4 linked regions of the Oryzias latipes genome follow. The main gene of each other region encodes a partner of the protein of the gene in region 2 in a complex. Links are inferred from orthologs where the notes say so. Each region holds a gene or a part of one and is shown on either strand. Other genes may lie near its edges. The genes, in order: timm21, cmc1, smim20 and cytochrome c oxidase assembly factor 1 homolog.

Region 1 (4,136 bases), on a different chromosome or scaffold from region 2:
TTGACTTGTCCCCTGAGTGTCAGAAAAGCTCCTCATCTGTTGTCCTCCACAACAATAGTCCGTCTCGGGTAGGTATCTATTTCTACAAATACATAACGGAATTCATACTTTCCAGTTTCAAGATTCTGCAAAACAACAAGGATACCATTATCTCAACTGATCAAAAAATCCACACAAGAAACAACAGGTTTCCATTTAAATAAAGACTTACCTCTTTAGACTCTGAATGCACCGTCCCTTTCAGGCCCGGCTCCGATCCCTCAATGTAAAACTTTAGTCTCATGTGCTTAAGTCCATCCTTTACATACTCCACGTGACTGAAGTGGAAATATGAGAATAAGGAATAAAAAAACTCCAACAATAACATATATATGTAATAACCTTAACATTTTGTAACTCCATTCTTCCAGAGCTCCAGATTCTCAGATGCTTACAATAAATCAGCACGAATACCACGTTAGCTCTTCAAAAGACAATAAAAACTTTTATGTTTCATAGCTGTGGGGTCTGAAACTAAATTCTCCTTCATGACAAGTTTTGCATAAACGTTGAAGGAAATTCAATGCTGCTGAAAATATGATTTATAGCTGATGTTCACAGGTTGTGATTCTGAAAGGAAGTCCTTCAAATCCTGCAAAAGCATTTCCTCTAAAACTAAAGGCAGCTGCTTGTTATGCCAAGTTTGATCAGATTTACTGTATTCTATACCATGAATCAATGAATGCTAAAGCAACATTTTGCAAGTAAGAAAAAGTTCAATAAGATAAGATAAAGTGTCAACACACCTGACTTGCTGCCTTCTCCCTCGGCGGGTGGTCTCACCGTAACATTTAATTGGTTCTCCAAATGCCCCAATAACCTGCAATTGATTATGTATTTCTTACTTTTATTTTGGAAAAACAATGATTTCTAGCCATTTCAACAGTAAAAAAATATTGATAGGAGACGCCGTCTGGCTTGATTTTTACCTCTGGGTGCGACCTGACTTTGTCAAAGGCTCTGCTGTAGACTTTATTTGGGCTGGTAGAGGAAAACAGCTCTTGGAACACCACATATAACAGCCCCCCTGACCAACACAGCAGAAAACTGCAGCTGATTATTTAGGTTGTGTGTTCTGGGACCAAATAAATAAATATATAAACAAGCAATGTGGGATTGTTGTGTAGCCATTCCTTGGACTCGTGCAGTTCAATTCACCTGTTACTCCAAGCCCGATGAGGACCACGATCAGGTAGGTGAAGTCTCTCCCAGCATCTTTGACTGAAAGACAAACAGAGCAGAGGCTCTTGAGTGGCCAATGCATAGTGGAAGAGTTTAGATTTATAAGCAAAATTTAACCCAGAGTGAAAATATTCCAGGTTTGATATAAAAGGAAACTGTGTGTCTGTGCAGACGGGTAGCTCTATTAGACTGCGGCTATAAGAGATGACAAGAGGAGGAGGAACTCATCAACATAACGTTAGGTCTGGCCCTCTAGTATGCCCCGAGGTATTATGATGACAAGTCCTAAAGATCTTTAGTTAGTTAGTTTCTGCAGAGCAGCAGTAGTTCAATAGAAATTGACCACTGTGCTGTTGGCGTGGAGCAAGCCTGCTCCACTTCCCATCACCAACCTATTACCCGCTCCCCCTCACACCCCCAACCTAACGTTACCAGAGTTAGTAATTACTTCATTACTTTAAAAATAATGACATAAAAATAGAATAAAGGAGCAAATTCTTGGTCTGGAATATATATATTCCAATGCTGGAATAAATGCAAAATGAAATATATCCATTGATTTGATGAATTAATGCAGAATTTATCTTCAAGATTAATTTGGATTTTCTTTTCTTTTTTCAATAAACCTTGTTCAATTGGATTTGGCATTGCTTATTTCAAGCAACCAAAGCAAAAACAATGCTGAAAACTACACAATCAACATCCATACAAACTAAGATGTATCAAACATAGAATATTTAGTCATTTAATTAAAGATGGCTTGAAAGGGAGTGGAAGGAAGCAAACTTATCAAACTTAACATTTTCTTTACATGAAGTATCCGGTTCATAACTTCTAAGCGGATATTTATACCTTACCAACACAGTTTCAGGTCATTAAGAATCTTTAGGTATCAATAAATCACATGAAAAAGATGAAGTACATAAAGTGAGTGAATGAGGTATAGACTAAAGAGGGCCCAGAACAGAAACCTGAGGAACACCACAGGAAAGGGAGTAGGAGTTATTACTTGCCAAGAAACTTTGAAAGCAGCTTTGGTTGTAAGAAAACAAAATGGGCGGTCCTAAAACAAGATTTTTAGTTTTTTCTAAATAAAATAGTAGCTTTAAACCCCATTTAAAGAGACAAGACAGTAAATATGCGTTTAGTTGCACAAATCTGAAATGGGCATACCTTTCTGAGCAGAGGACACTTTAGGACTCTGGTAGGCAGAAACAGACCTGTGCTTCTCCTCCTTGTTTCTGAGGATAACGTGAACAGAAAAGCGTCTTCGTGTTTGACAGAGACAGCTCAGGGCGGACACAGGAGCCTCTGACCCACGGACGGACAGGCCGGGGATGACCGCTCCTGCTCTGCGTGTGAACAACAGCACGCCAGCCTGCTGCACGGGGAGAAATGTTTTCCCGGAGCTCCGCACACTTTGTTGCACGGCTTTTAAAATGTGCGTGAAAGACATTATTTTATCCGACGGACAATATCTGAAAAAAAGAAAAGAAAACAGCAGCTCATCTACTGAAAATAAGAATCAAATAACAGCGGTCTTTCATGGTAACATGGAATTGCAATGCTGGAAACCGCCATTCAGACCTCTGATTCACTGACCTGCTGGGTCGATCAGACGTCGAGGATTTTCTAAAGATGGCTACTGCCCCCTTCTGTCCCGGATGTCAAACTGCAGCCTTATTTGTGGTCTGGGGCTTTTTTGACCTTACGTCGTATTTCGCTTTATTGATTTATCTTCAAATCGGTTTTTGCGGCAATGCTTGATTTCCATCCTCTTTTTAAAAACCCACACTTCGTTTTACTGATTTTGTTTTCATTATACTGCACAATAACTCCACAATGAAGTTGAAACTGTCCAAAAAAGTCAATTCTGAGTGATAAATGTGGTCTTTTTTCTGCTAAAGATTCAAGATTCAAGAATTCTTGAAAAAAGACCACATTTTTTAGCAGAAAAAATGTGGTCTTTTTTCTGCTAAAACAATGATTAAAAAATTGAGATCAAACAGTTTTTATGTTTTATAACAAAGGTAAAACGTGTTGAGACAAAACAAAGTTATAAATCCAAAAAAACAAAACATGCAACAATTTAGACATACTTAATTAGAAGCAGAGTTTTTTCAACATAAAAATAATTCACTTAAGGTTTCAAACTTATTGACTTGGTACTTAGGATTATGTAAATACTTTAAATAGACCCTTAATTAATACAAGTTTTTTTTTTAATTACAGGTATAATTTATTTTAAAAGGATCCTTTCATGTTGATAAAAAATGAAAGGAAAACAAATTACTGCTCACTACAGCATTACTGGCTAAGGACTTAAATGCACAGCAGACATGAATATGTATTTGCTGAATGGCTGTTTGAGTCAGCACTCCCACAAATTTCAGAAACATCTGATAAATGCATATATTTTCTTTCCTATTTCAATTAAAGTTGCACTTTCCTGAAAGCAAATCCACATGATTGAGATTTTATAACAATGTTATTTAGTGTCTTTGTGATTATCAATTACATTTTTGGGGCTGCTTGAAGTTGATTTATTCCGAAACAATATTCCTGTCTGTTTTTATTCAAATTTTTGTTCAAAATAAGTTTAAAATGTTTGAAAACGTATCTTTAATGTGTTCACTAAATGTTTATCCTGTTCGGCCCACAACCTGGACCCCTGTGCAATTGAGTTTGACACCCTTGTAATACGAGTATATAAAATTCTTACATTTGTGTTGATTTTTGTGTTAATTAAAAATAGGGAACACAAAACGATGTGGTCAATGTGGGTGTGGGGGGGGTTGTAAGTCAGTGTAGAACTGCCACTGAACAAAATATTTCCATTGTCACACCAGCTTCCTTCTTCCTCAGGGGATTGGTCAAATACAAAACTGGTCAATTTGTAATATAATCTATAATAA
Region 2 (4,342 bases):
TTAAAAACACCAAAAAAAAAACTATTTTCTACTCAGAGTGAGGTCTTTCACATGTAGGCTGTTCTGAAAGACATTAAAATATTAGCGTGAATCATCTATTCAGTGGGAAAAATCATGACGGGTTGGGGTCAGTAGAACGCGCCTTTCTCAAAGCCCACAAAATCCAAGTGTGGGCTGCTTGTGTGTAAAGACAAAAACACAGTGAACGTGCTGCCAGGCGTTTTTCACGTTTCTTTGTAAAACTCCAACACAGACACACGTGTGCAGACACAAGCACACAGCATGAGAGGGTGGAGGATGAAGGTGTGAAAATGAGTGGGACGAGAAGCTTGTAAGATGAGGGGGGTTTCCATTACCACATAGCCACTGTCTGTCCCATCACCCCAGCCTGAATGTGCACCCTTCTCCTCGCGTAAGCAGCGCACACTGGCTGTGATCAGATTTTTACAAACCACATAACTTAGTCACTCTGGTTGATGCATCGCTGCAGTTGCCCTGTAGCACTGCACGAGCAAGACTACGGGCAGTGTTTCTGTGCAGATGATGTAGTTACTGCTGGCATGCCAGTTAGCCTGGCCTTTAAATATAATTCACAGCAAAAGTTTAGCAGCACACAAGTCAAATGTTTAAGGAATAGAAAGGAGAGACCCAAGAAGAGGAAAAAACTGCCAATATAACTGTCAAACTATTATTAATGTAAAATATGCTGGTTAGCCACAACTAAATCAGTCCCATTGTTTGTAATTATTTTTTAACAGAAAATATTAAATATTAAAAAATACAAACGCGTTCAAACAAACCTGTATTTATTAAGAAACAACTATTGAAAATAGCCTGCATTACCATTTGTTCTGAGGTTTTTACTATAAATTTAACTCAAAGAATTTAATTTAATGAAATGCTGCCCTACTCAAACAAGACTTTTACTAAATTCACTTTTGGGTCAAACTTACTGATCCAGATTATCCCCTTACTTCTTTAAATTTTAAGGAAAAATTAGGAATGGAAAGACTTTGAGACTAAAAGTCTAATGCCATTTTCAAATCGTTAACCTGATGCTTTAGAAATCAAATAATTGATTTGATTAACACAAATCTTTACTAGAAAAAAAACTGGTGATCTTAAGAGTTCTGCACTTAGGGATGCATATTTAAAAAAAAAAGTCATAAACATTAAATGAATAATAAAAGTACAATGTCCAGAGTTTTGAGGATGGTTACTCATACACCAGTGATAATGAAAAAGATGTATTTTACTATTGTTTTCTGCAGTGTTTTATACTGTTGTTTCTTTTTATACATTATATTTGTAGTAACTCATGTTAGACATCATTATTTCTAATATTTAAGTGTTATCAAGGTGCTGAGTTTTTTGGTTTGACCAAAAATGTAAAGATAATTGGCCAAAATTGAGACTTTGCTGATACTGTGAAACCATCAGAAAACTGTTGATTTAGTGGCATTACAACAGGAGTCCCTTCCTCTTATCCACATATGTCAAATTCAAGGCCCGGGGGCCAAATGTGGCCCTCCATGTCATTTTATGTGGCCCCCGAGAGCATAAAAGTTTTTGATTTCTTAAAATAAAAAATAAAAATTGGTGTGTATTTATATATATAGGGGGGGAATCTGCCTTGAAATATCAGATTGGGCAACCATACATTAGGACTTAAACACTGTCCATATAACCTAACCTGACAGAATCAAATTTAAAAGGATTTATGATAGAGTAACAAGCAAACATATGTTTTCTATGCAACTGTAATTGTCACTTTCAAAAGTTATAAATAATAAATAAATTAGTTGTTTAACATTAAGGAGTAGTTACGTGTATGTTTCATTACATTTAGTTACATGTATAAGTTATATCCGGCCCTTTGAGGACAGCTGCTATACTGATGTGGCCCTCGGTGGAAATGAGTTTGACACCCCTACGCTTATCGGTTCCAAAATGCCATCAACGTTCATCAAGCTCTGTGGATGTTGCTGGTCCAAATTAATGTGGTGACAGCAACATCACAAGAGGTTTTAATGTGAAATAAAATCCTACACTGCTCAGAAAAATGAAAAAATATTTTTTTTTTTTTGGTTTTAGATCTCAAGGTCACTCAAAGTTCACACGTGATCAAGATCTCCTTTCATGACGGCCACAATGAAGACGAATCTGTGTGTGCTGTACAGAGAAGGAGTCAGCTTAACCCACAGCTCACTGGTATTTGCTGAGTTATCTGTAAACACACCATCAACCTTGTCCGCACAAAGCTCCTTGGCTTTCTCCCTCATCATCTTGGGGATCAGCACGTCCGTCTCCACATGTCTCAGATGGACCTCCTCTGTATCAGATCAGGAGAAAAGGAGGTAAACAAGAGAGATGTGTGTGCCAAACGAGGATGATGGAAACGGTTTATTAGTAAATTAAACTGATGAAGACTACGGCTTTATCATGACGGTACAACGCCTAATGTGCAAAATTACAAAACATTTAATGTAGCTAATAAAAATAAAGTGGAGTTCGGTTTGCAACTACCAAAACGTCGTGGATCGATATGTCGCTAACGTCATGCATGATCATGGCAAGACACCGAGGAATGGCTAGTAGTTATCATCCAGATAACATATTCATCTTTATGGTGAAATTACCGAATACATTTTATACTTGACGAGGCATTTTTTTTTAATAAAAGGACGTTACATACCTGTATTTGTTGCTTCCATTATGGGGGGACTCTCAAAACATTACAAAACAGAGGCAATCAATGTGACCTAGCTAACGGACGCTGAAAACACTTCCGCTGACGTAAGAAGAATGAAACTACAAATCCCATAGACAACACGGTGTGGTAACGAGTACCGCCTCTTCCGAATGAAGTCAGGTTTTTTAAGCAAAATAAACTTTTATATTATATTATATTATATTATATTATATTATATTATATTATATTATATTATATTATATTATATTATATTATATTATATTATATTATATTATATTATATTATATTATATTATATTGTATTGTATTGTATTGTATTGTATTGTATTGTATTATATAGTACTGTATTTTACTATATTATATTATATTATATTATATTATATTATATTATATTATATTATATCATATCATATCATATCATATACTATACTATACTATACTATACTATACTGTACTATGTTATGTTATGTAATGTTATATCATATTATACTGTATTATATTATATTATATTATATTATATTATATTATATTATATTATATTATATTATATTATATTATATTATATTATATTATATTATATTATTTTGAATAATGGTAGTGACCATTTTCTGGGTAAATACTTAATTATTTAACATTTCCTTAATCATTCTAAAATTATCTTTTTTATATATGACCTGGATTTAAATAACAGACGTTGACTACTAAAGGAGTTACATTGTATGAAACAAAATGTAGGTTACAACATTTTTAAATGAAATTAGATTATTAAAACTATAATTTAAGCAATATAATTGGAAGTACCAAGCTTATCCTTTTTTGTGTTTTCTCTGCTGGATGGATACTGAATGATTAATTACCACAAATTTAGTAAATAACATCCGCAATTTTTTCCTGAAGCCCAAAATTCCAAAACGACTTGTCATTAGTAAGTACTTATACCTTGAATAAATCATGAAAGCAGTTTTAAGGAAGAGTTGTAATAAATCAGTCGCAGCAAAATAAAGTCATTTAAGTGATGCAAACAGAGAAAAATTCAGCCATTTGATCAAATTCCATTATATTCTATACTGGTCATCAATTGGTGTATTTCTTTCACAGTTCTGTTAAAATGTCTTCCAAAAAAGGTTAATATATCAACTGTCTTTGTTCTGTTAATTTGGTATCAGAACAATCCTTTTTTTTACATGAAAACCTTTAGAATGTTAGTGTACAAAAAAATATATATGTCTAGAAAAGTTTTAAAACGTCTAAAAGTGGACATTTTTTGTAACAATTTTTTAAATTGTTTAATTTTTTTTCTTCAAAACCTTACAAAATTTAATCAAACCTGTCAAGTGACTTAAAAAGAATGAAAAAAATATGATATGCTGGTAATATGGTAGCAAATCTCTCCTGAAAGTATGTCAACATACAGCCACAATGTACCAGAGACTCAGCCACAGACTGCACGTTTCACACAGTCTGACCACAGTCAGGTGTGTGGCACAAAGATCACATAGATTCCAAGCGTATCAGCCTCACTTGTTCAATTAAAGAGACAGGTATTCTCTCCGAGACACGCAGAATCACACGCTGAGGAAAGAGTGTCTTCACACGAGCAGCAATACAGACGATAGACTACACTCAGAAA
Region 3 (4,239 bases), on a different chromosome or scaffold from region 2:
AAAACAAAATAAGCTTCAAAATAAAATCCCAAAACGATACATGAATTGTTCTCTTTGTAGAATCAGTGCTTTGCAGAGCAGACGTTTGCTTTAATAGATATTAAATCCCGCAATAGTTATTAAAAAGATAATAATCATAAATGGAGATTAAAGAAATAATGTAATTAAACTGAAAGTTACAAAAGAAACAAAATACTACAGCAAATGCAGTTGCACATGGTTTTTAACTTGTGCTTTATTTCTTAATTTAGCTCCAAACAATGTGTTTTTTAATTTTGAGTTTCAGAAAATTCAGAAAATGTTTAGGCCAAATGTGGACATTTTAGTCATTATTGTAATTATCAAATGATTACAGAGGATGTAGAAAGTGATCCTGTGACAAAATAAAGTTGATCTAAAAGAGCAGCCGGGCTGCCTTCACTTTTCTGTGACTCAAATCCAATAAAAATGTCAAACTGTTTCGCTTTCATGGCGTTTTTTGTTAAGGATAAGAAATCCGACCAAAATACTTTCACAGATTCTTTTCAAAAATTGATTTCACTTAATCTGCCATCCATACTTAAAGTAAAAACATTTGTTTATTGTTTTTAATTGATTAAAAACGGACCCAAGAAGTGTTTTGGAATGACAAAATATACAAAAAGATTCCTCTTTTGTGAGGAAAGTTGATCCAAACATTTCTCTTTTTTTTTTTTTTTTTACCAGTATTGTCAAAGCTCCTGTAAGCATCATTTCACCCGCTTTTTTGAATTCAGCGACCTTTTCTTACCCACAGGCTGCACATCTTCCTGGTTTATTCCGGACCGATTTATCCTCTGAGTTTGTCCTAAAAAGGAGCACAGCATTTCAGTTAGATTCTTTATTCTAGGGAAAATTTTCATGCTATGATCCATTTCAAAAAATTTCTAGAAATGTTTGATTTCAAATGTTTTTAAAAAAAATTAAGGAAGGAGAGTCTAAAGCTTCAGTTTAGGGAACATATTTGCCGGTGATTGTGAAAATCATTACAGGGGTTGTATTTTTATAATAGTAACATTGCAAAGGTGCAGAAAATCCATGGAAAAAATAAATAAATATTATTATTACTTAAATAATATAACAGTTAAAAAAAATCCTACTTTAAAGAGCTAATTTCAGAAAACCTGATTCATTCGTGACATTATAGTGTGACCTCAAGTAGCTTGAAGTAGTTAGGATTCAGTTTGACCTAAAACCTTCAGATCCTGCTGCTTACATGAACACATCTGGATTTCTCCAAAGATGGAGATTTCTGGAAGAGTTATTCAAGCAGGAAGTCCGAATCTGTGACCATCTTTCTAACTTTACCAAATCCTCTGAGTGCTGCACTCTGATTGGTTAACTCCCCCCTCCTCTAACCCTCCCTTCCCCCAGTTCCATTATCAGACACAGATCAGTTTTGACACAAGTTTCTTGCAAGGAATGTGTCAGAATTCAGAGCGCAGTTGTAGCGCACTTGTGATTTGCGCCAGCAGATTCGAGCAGACGCAGAAGCACATTTGAGCAGTTGGAATCACATATTTGACGTTGTAACTCTAAATGAACACATGCAAATGGGAATTTCTCAGTTCACAGCAAAAGATTTTTACACAAAGATGCAGAATTTTGTTGTGCAAGTATTCACATTCTATATTACAAGATCTCACATCAAATCAAAAGTGCGTTCTTTTTGGAACATATTTACCTTCATAAAGAACAGTCAGATTTGTTTTTTTAGTTGTGTATTTTGATGCCTAAGAATGAACTTTTTCTGTTGTTTTTTGTTTCAGAAGTTTATTTGAACTGCCTTTTTCCCACATCCGATGCAGAAAAACTTAAAATAAATCAGGCAAACATAAATCCTTGAAGCAGGAAATAGAATTTTTGGAGAGACATCTGGCCCAAATACTATTACCAGCCATAATCCATTAAAGATATCAGGCTTTTTTCACCTCAGTAAGCAGACTACTGTTGAAATCAGATCATGATCGGTGTGCATGCAAACTGTTAAATAGCAGCGGCTGAAAAGATAGCTTTTTTTATTTTATTTAATTGTACTTTCTCCTTCATTTATGTTATTTATTATTATCATTATCATCATTATTCACATTATTATTAGTAGTAGTAGTTGATTTTCTCTTTTTCTATTATTATTTTTAATAGTAGTACTAGTACTAGAAGCAGTATTAGTAGTCGTTTTCTTGTCTTTTTCTTGGGCAGACTTAATAAATAAGCTTCTTCCTGCTCTATTTCAAACATGTTTTCTATTGTTGTACTATTTTTGCTGTAGCTGTTTTTATTCATGTTTTCATCTTTAGATTTGCATCATTTTGACTGTATTATTTTTAATTATAAACATGTTTGGGGGAAAAACATAGAACCTATGAGGAAAATTACTTTAAAAGTTTGCTTATTTTCAGCTTTGAGGACAAAATACTCAAATGGAATTAAACTACTAGCTAGCTAAAAGTTAGAAGCTAGCTTCCAAAAGCAGTTTAAATAAAAAAAAAAATACTTCAGTACCGGTACTTCAAATATTTTTTTCAAAACAGCCTTTAGTTTGATTTAGGAGAATATCTTTAGAAAATATATAAAAATATTTGTGACGTTTACATGACATTGTATAAGAGCTAAAAAAATAAATAAATACAAGCTGTTAGCTACTTACTGTACTCGTCTCTGTGCGTCAGAGGATAGACGAAAATAGGATATAAAGCAGCGGCGACTGTTGTTATAAAACCCCCAAAAATCAGCGCTATTCTTATATTTTTCGACATTTTTCTAGCTTGGTAGGACGTAACCTAGCATTAAAGACACCCCGTGTTTACAACTTGTACTTCCGGGGAAAAGGTTACGCTGTCACATTTTTTTTGACAAATCTTTATTTAAAAACCAAAAATGACAAACAGCAAGGAACACAGAGCAATACACTGTATATCAATTTTGATAGATAAACGCTAGGGGTTATGAAAGTAAAATTATGTTAATCTATTAAACTGAGCCTAAAATCACTTCTAGTGAATGATATAGAAATTACAGATGAAAAGGCTGTATCCTCAGAAATTTACAGATTTTATAGCCACCTTTACAGCTCTAAATTTTCAAGAGCAGACTGTGACAACTTTATAAAAGAGATTCCCCACATCCCCAAAATAGACGACAATTTTAAACAAACATGCGATAAACAACTTTTAATCTCTGAGCTTGATGCTGTCATTAATCGACTCTCTCTTAATAAATCTCCTGGTTCAGATGGGCTCACAGGCGACTTTTATAGACACTTTTGGGAAGATATCAGAAAATTACTGTATCAAGTCTTCTTGGAAATCTTGAAATTTGGCCATTTATATTACGAATTGTTATGACATCAAAAAGTTAAATGTCTTGGGTACAGAGCTTATTATTGGCCAGCTAGCAGATGACACAACACTGTTTTTAAAAGATGAGCATCAAATCAAAGCAGCTATTGAAAAAGTAAAACACTTTTCCAAAGCGTCAGGGTCAAACTTAAATTTAAAGAAATTGTGAACTGTTGACTATTCATGACACACCTTTAAAAGAAATCAATCATATGCCCATTAAATCAGAAATTAAATACTTGGGGATCTACATCACCAAAGACCAAAAAATAAGCTAATCAAGGAATGTGGGTGAAAAACTGGATGAATGTGAGACAGAGTTAAATATGTGGCTCCAAAGAGACATGTCGATGCAGGGCCGGATCTATCTGACAAAGATGGAGTGTTTGTCAAGATGTATTTACCCATCTTACTCTAATGCCATCCCAAACAAAATGATAAAATCCATCTGCCAAATGACTTTAAACTTTATTTGGAGAAACAAGCATCATTACATGAAAAATAAATATGGTCAAAGAATTTAAAGATGGTGGTCTCAAAGTTATGAATTTTGACTGCCGTAACGGAATCCTATAGATAAAATCGTGGATCAAACACAACCAATCTTTCAATCTAGCATTATCAGAGTTCCACAATTCTGCTATACTGGAAAATATTGTATGTGCATCGCCATTTTTAAGTACTATTTGGAACAATGAATACATGCTCCATAGAAACAAGTCCTTGTTTTGTGCTGAATGGTTTGGGCAAAGTGTTTGGTCGGTGACTGATCTGATGGACACGGAGGGCAATTTATTAGATTATGAGCAATTGTGTTTAAGACATAACTTTAATCCTCCTATTTCAGAATTCTTAAAAGTACGTAATTCTCTTCCTTGAGAAT
Region 4 (4,005 bases), on a different chromosome or scaffold from region 2:
ATTATTGCACTGGAAATCTTAAGACCCACCCAGGGTGTCCCAGTGGCTGACGGATCTTATGCAACTATTAAAACTTGACAAAATAAAATATTCAGTTCGGGGATTGAGGGACACATTTTTCTCAGTCTGGGGTCGGGTTTTAGATCACTTCTTCTCCTTCGCCTCCTCACATTCTACCACCACGTCCGCGTAGTCTATAGTTTAAAATATTCCAGTTATTACTAATTATTATTAGCATTATAAGTATTATTTTTCTTACGTATAAATATTATTACATAAGCTATTTATGTAACTATATTTCTCTAATTTATGTTGCCATTTGGTTGACTGATTTGGCCATTGAGTTGATCATATAGAGGTAAGCTTTTGTTACATTGGACAATATATATCATAGCTTTGTATTGCAAACTATGGAGAGGGGGGGGGGGGGGGGGTTGAGGGTGTTCCTCTTTCTTTTTTTAAAGATATTCATTTATTTTCCCTTTTTTGCAGGGGTGGGGAAACTGGAGAGTGGTGTTCGGAAAAAAGAATAACTGGCCGAGTTGTATTACAAATATGAAACTATATGTTTGTTTCTTTGTATTTCAGGTATGTCGCAATTCTCTTTTAGTTTGCAATAAACAAAAAACAAACAAAAAAAAGACAGTCTGCCAGAGGGGAGATGAGTGAAAAAGGAGCCTCCTGAGTGAAGAGTCAGTGTTGACAAATGTATCCTTTCCAACAGAGACTGAGAAACATTTGAAATAAATTACAGTCAAAGCTGCGCCTCAGCTCTTTGGTTCTCATTTGCACGCTGCAGAATGACGTGCACCGTTCTACAAACAGCTTCAGCTCTGTGTACGAGGTAATGATCAAAGCATAGCCCGTCCTCAGCACCAGACACTGGTCTGGAATTCCCGTTCAGAGCCATTTGTCCATGTCTTCCTCTAGTGTACTTTCTTCTGGCGTAGCTGGACGAGGAGGAGGGTTCAGCAAGTCGATGACGGAACCTTCCCGGAGGTGAAGCTCAGCCTGTTTCAAATCCCACCTGCAGGGGGGTGCACAAACTCCTTATTAATTTGTACTGAGCGTTCAGAGGAAAAAACTGAAGCAGACCCACTTGTGTGTTTGTGGCTCTCTGTGTGAACACGTGTACAGATAACCTCCAGTCTTTGAGCCTGTGACAGGAATCTTAATCTGCAAAGAAAAGAAAAAAAACACATTCAAAAAATAATTCAATTAAACCACACATCTATTTTTATCTACAAGGAGAGAAATAGAAGTTGCAGTCAATAAATTTCCAACATTCATCAAAGTGACTGTAGGTTGTTGTCACTTTACACGTTAAGAAGCCCATTGAGGCTGCTGTTGTTGGGAATTTGGGCTATACAAAAAAAAAAATTAATTGAAAAAATTGAATTACATGAAGATACACGAATCTGTCTCATAACCACTATTGCCCCTTTATCCATACTGAATACCATGTCCCAATCTTACTTTTTCTAGATACTTCCTGTGTATATATTTTGTACATCAGACCATTATTATTATTGGCAGTTTGACTGTGGGTTGAGATGACTGTGCTGGATGCCATATATATTGCATTTTTGACAACAAAGCTGACTTGAACTTGTAGACGCGAGTGGGAAAGATCTCCTGTAACATTCAGTCAGTACCACAGAGGATCTGAAATAACCTCTGACCAAAGACACTCTGCGGTAGGATTTCTGTAATCAGAAGCATGCTCCAAAAGCAGCACATGGTGAAGGGGGAGGGGCAAGGAGGCGTCCACCTGATCATCAACTGTATTTATGGTAAGCAAAGCATCTGGCTTACCGTCATATTTAGTCCTTAAAACCCATCCTTTCAAAAACAACTTCTCATCACTTTGCGTATAATGATGCATGTACATTAGGCCTGCACAGTATACCGCAAATTTATCGTTATCGCGACATTAAGCTGTGCAATATGCATACCCCAAAAGACCGCGAAAATCGCAATAAATGGTTACCTTAAATGTGCTAAAACAAACTCATGGCAGCTTGAAATATTGAACAAATGAAATAAATCCCTTTATGCATTTAACCAGTCGGAAGGACCCGTTTACGTTGTTGATCAATCAGATGAGCCCTTTTATGTTTGATGTTTGCCTCCTACGTCGACGAGGGTCATTTGGAGTATAATTTTTAAACTGTTGCAGTGAACACGGAAATGATGTTTTTGGTTGTTTTGCTATTTGTTTATATAGCGCGAATTATATCGTTATCGCACTATTAATCACCAATATCGCATATCTTTCTCATTCAAAGAGTTTTCTTTATTTTCATGACTATGAAAATTGTAGATTCAAACTGAAGGCATCAAAACTATGAATGAACACATGTGGAATTATATACATAACAAAAATGTGTGAAAAAACTGAAAATATGTCATATTGTAGGTTCTTCATAGTACCCGCCTTTTGCTTTGATTACTGCTTTGCACACTCTTGGCATTCTCTTGATGAGCTTGAAGAGGTAGTCACCTGAGATGTTTTTCACTTCACAGGTGTGCCCTGTAAGGTTTAATAAGTGTGATTTCTTGCCTTATAAATGGGGTCGGGACCATCAGTTGTGTTGTGCAGAAGTCAGGTGGATACACAACTGATAGTCCTACTGAATAGTTAGAATTGTTAGCGATGGGAATAGAAGCCCCATGAAGCTTCCCTTGGGCTTCATGTAATTGTGCCGGAAAAATGAACCAGCCATTCAGGGCTTTGAAACCACACAGAACAGCGGCATCTGGTGGCGGACTGGCCGTATATCATATGCTTCAACTAAGCTCCTTGTAACACTTCAATGTAGAAGTGATGATGGAAAAAAACGTAACACAAAACATTGTTTTTAATAATTAAAAAATAAAACGTAAAACAACATGACATGTGACGTTTTCTGTGAGAAGTGCTTGACACAGCAAAACACTCATGACATGAAGAAAATAAACACAAAGCAAATTATTTTATTTTTTTTAAATGCTGGTCTTGAACCCAGCACCTCTGGATGCAGACCCCATTGACTTGCTATAGTGTATTGTGTACATGTACCCACTGAGCTATCGCTACTGATACTGATTCACCTAGCCATTGTAAATTCATTGAAGTGTGTCTTATTTTACACAACGTCTATTGTTCTATTAGGAAAAATCGAGTTGAAACGATCCTGAGCCACAGTACGTTTTTACCAGGAGCCATGGTAAAGTGCAATGAACTGATGCTGATTACGATACAGGGGAAACAATAGAACTGGTCGGGAAACATCGTCCATCGTGATGGGTGAGTGACATCCCGATGGAGAGACACCATCGTGATGCCACGCCCCCGCCAAGCTGCGAGTCGACACCATAAGCCCCGGTTACATGTGAAAAATATCTTGATGGGATCGATGGTCGGATTAGAATCCAACTGTGTAGATGGTTCCAGAAAAATGTTTTCAGATTATAACAAACGTTCACATGGGTCACACTTTCGGTCGGAATAAATCATTCGCACATGCGCAGTAGGATTTGAAAAACCGGAAGCGGATATCAGTTCCGCCGAGCGGCTATTTTTTTCTCAAACTTTATTGAATGTAACAATTCATTACAAAACAATGTTGCAGAGCGGTTTTATACATTGATATGTCAGCTCGGTAATATACAAGACGATCATCTAAACCTGCTTTTAATAATGTTACGGTTATTATGAAACGCCTGTTCGCTCATCGTTTTATTTTTAATCAGTGCTTTTTCTGTTGAAAAACTGAGCCAGAAAGAAGCCAGAATTAGCAGTATGCTAACACGGGCTAACAACATTAGCTTGGGTGGTGCTGCAATCTGCATCTTGGCTGCATGTAAACATGTGGGAATAACATTAGCCTTTATTTAGTCGGGACACGACTCGAAACACAAATCCACGTGATTGTTTGAACGATTTCTAAGGACTGAGCGGCCTTTCTGCTTTGAAGCTCAAACCGCCCCAAAGCGCTGTGTGTGTGCTCACGATCCTCTGCT

What was found.
Region 1: cmc1 (region 2) and timm21 share a complex: the UniProt entries of both Homo sapiens proteins name them as parts of the MITRAC (mitochondrial translation regulation assembly intermediate of cytochrome c oxidase complex) complex. The link is inferred for Oryzias latipes from reciprocal best matches to the Homo sapiens genes CMC1 and TIMM21.
Region 3: cmc1 (region 2) and smim20 share a complex: the UniProt entries of both Homo sapiens proteins name them as parts of the MITRAC (mitochondrial translation regulation assembly intermediate of cytochrome c oxidase complex) complex. The link is inferred for Oryzias latipes from reciprocal best matches to the Homo sapiens genes CMC1 and SMIM20.
Region 4: cmc1 (region 2) and cytochrome c oxidase assembly factor 1 homolog share a complex: the UniProt entries of both Homo sapiens proteins name them as parts of the MITRAC (mitochondrial translation regulation assembly intermediate of cytochrome c oxidase complex) complex. The link is inferred for Oryzias latipes from reciprocal best matches to the Homo sapiens genes CMC1 and COA1.

What each region holds. Positions count from the first base shown.
Region 1 is NC_019878.2:15,518,260-15,522,395, forward strand, and holds the start of timm21 (mitochondrial import inner membrane translocase subunit Tim21), read right to left. Parts: upstream 2,824-4,136; 5' UTR 2,809-2,823; intron 2,700-2,808; 5' UTR 2,678-2,699; coding exon 2,395-2,677; intron 1,261-2,394; coding exon 1,198-1,260; intron 1,067-1,197; coding exon 969-1,066; intron 860-968; coding exon 786-859; intron 318-785; coding exon 212-317; intron 126-211; coding exon 33-125; 3' UTR 1-32. UniProt on the Homo sapiens protein: Participates in the translocation of transit peptide-containing proteins across the mitochondrial inner membrane.
Region 2 is NC_019874.2:13,407,104-13,411,445, forward strand, and holds the start of cmc1 (COX assembly mitochondrial protein homolog), read right to left. Parts: upstream 2,854-4,342; 5' UTR 2,715-2,853; coding exon 2,696-2,714; intron 2,333-2,695; coding exon 2,240-2,332; intron 1-2,239. UniProt on the Homo sapiens protein: Component of the MITRAC (mitochondrial translation regulation assembly intermediate of cytochrome c oxidase complex) complex, that regulates cytochrome c oxidase assembly.
Region 3 is NC_019876.2:17,386,022-17,390,260, forward strand, and holds the start of smim20 (small integral membrane protein 20), read right to left. Parts: upstream 2,857-4,239; 5' UTR 2,775-2,856; coding exon 2,666-2,774; intron 827-2,665; coding exon 770-826; intron 1-769.
Region 4 is NC_019875.2:5,301,901-5,305,905, reverse strand, and holds the end of cytochrome c oxidase assembly factor 1 homolog, read right to left. Parts: intron 1,177-4,005; coding exon 1,100-1,176; intron 1,028-1,099; coding exon 901-1,027; 3' UTR 543-900; downstream 1-542. UniProt on the Homo sapiens protein: Component of the MITRAC (mitochondrial translation regulation assembly intermediate of cytochrome c oxidase complex) complex, that regulates cytochrome c oxidase assembly.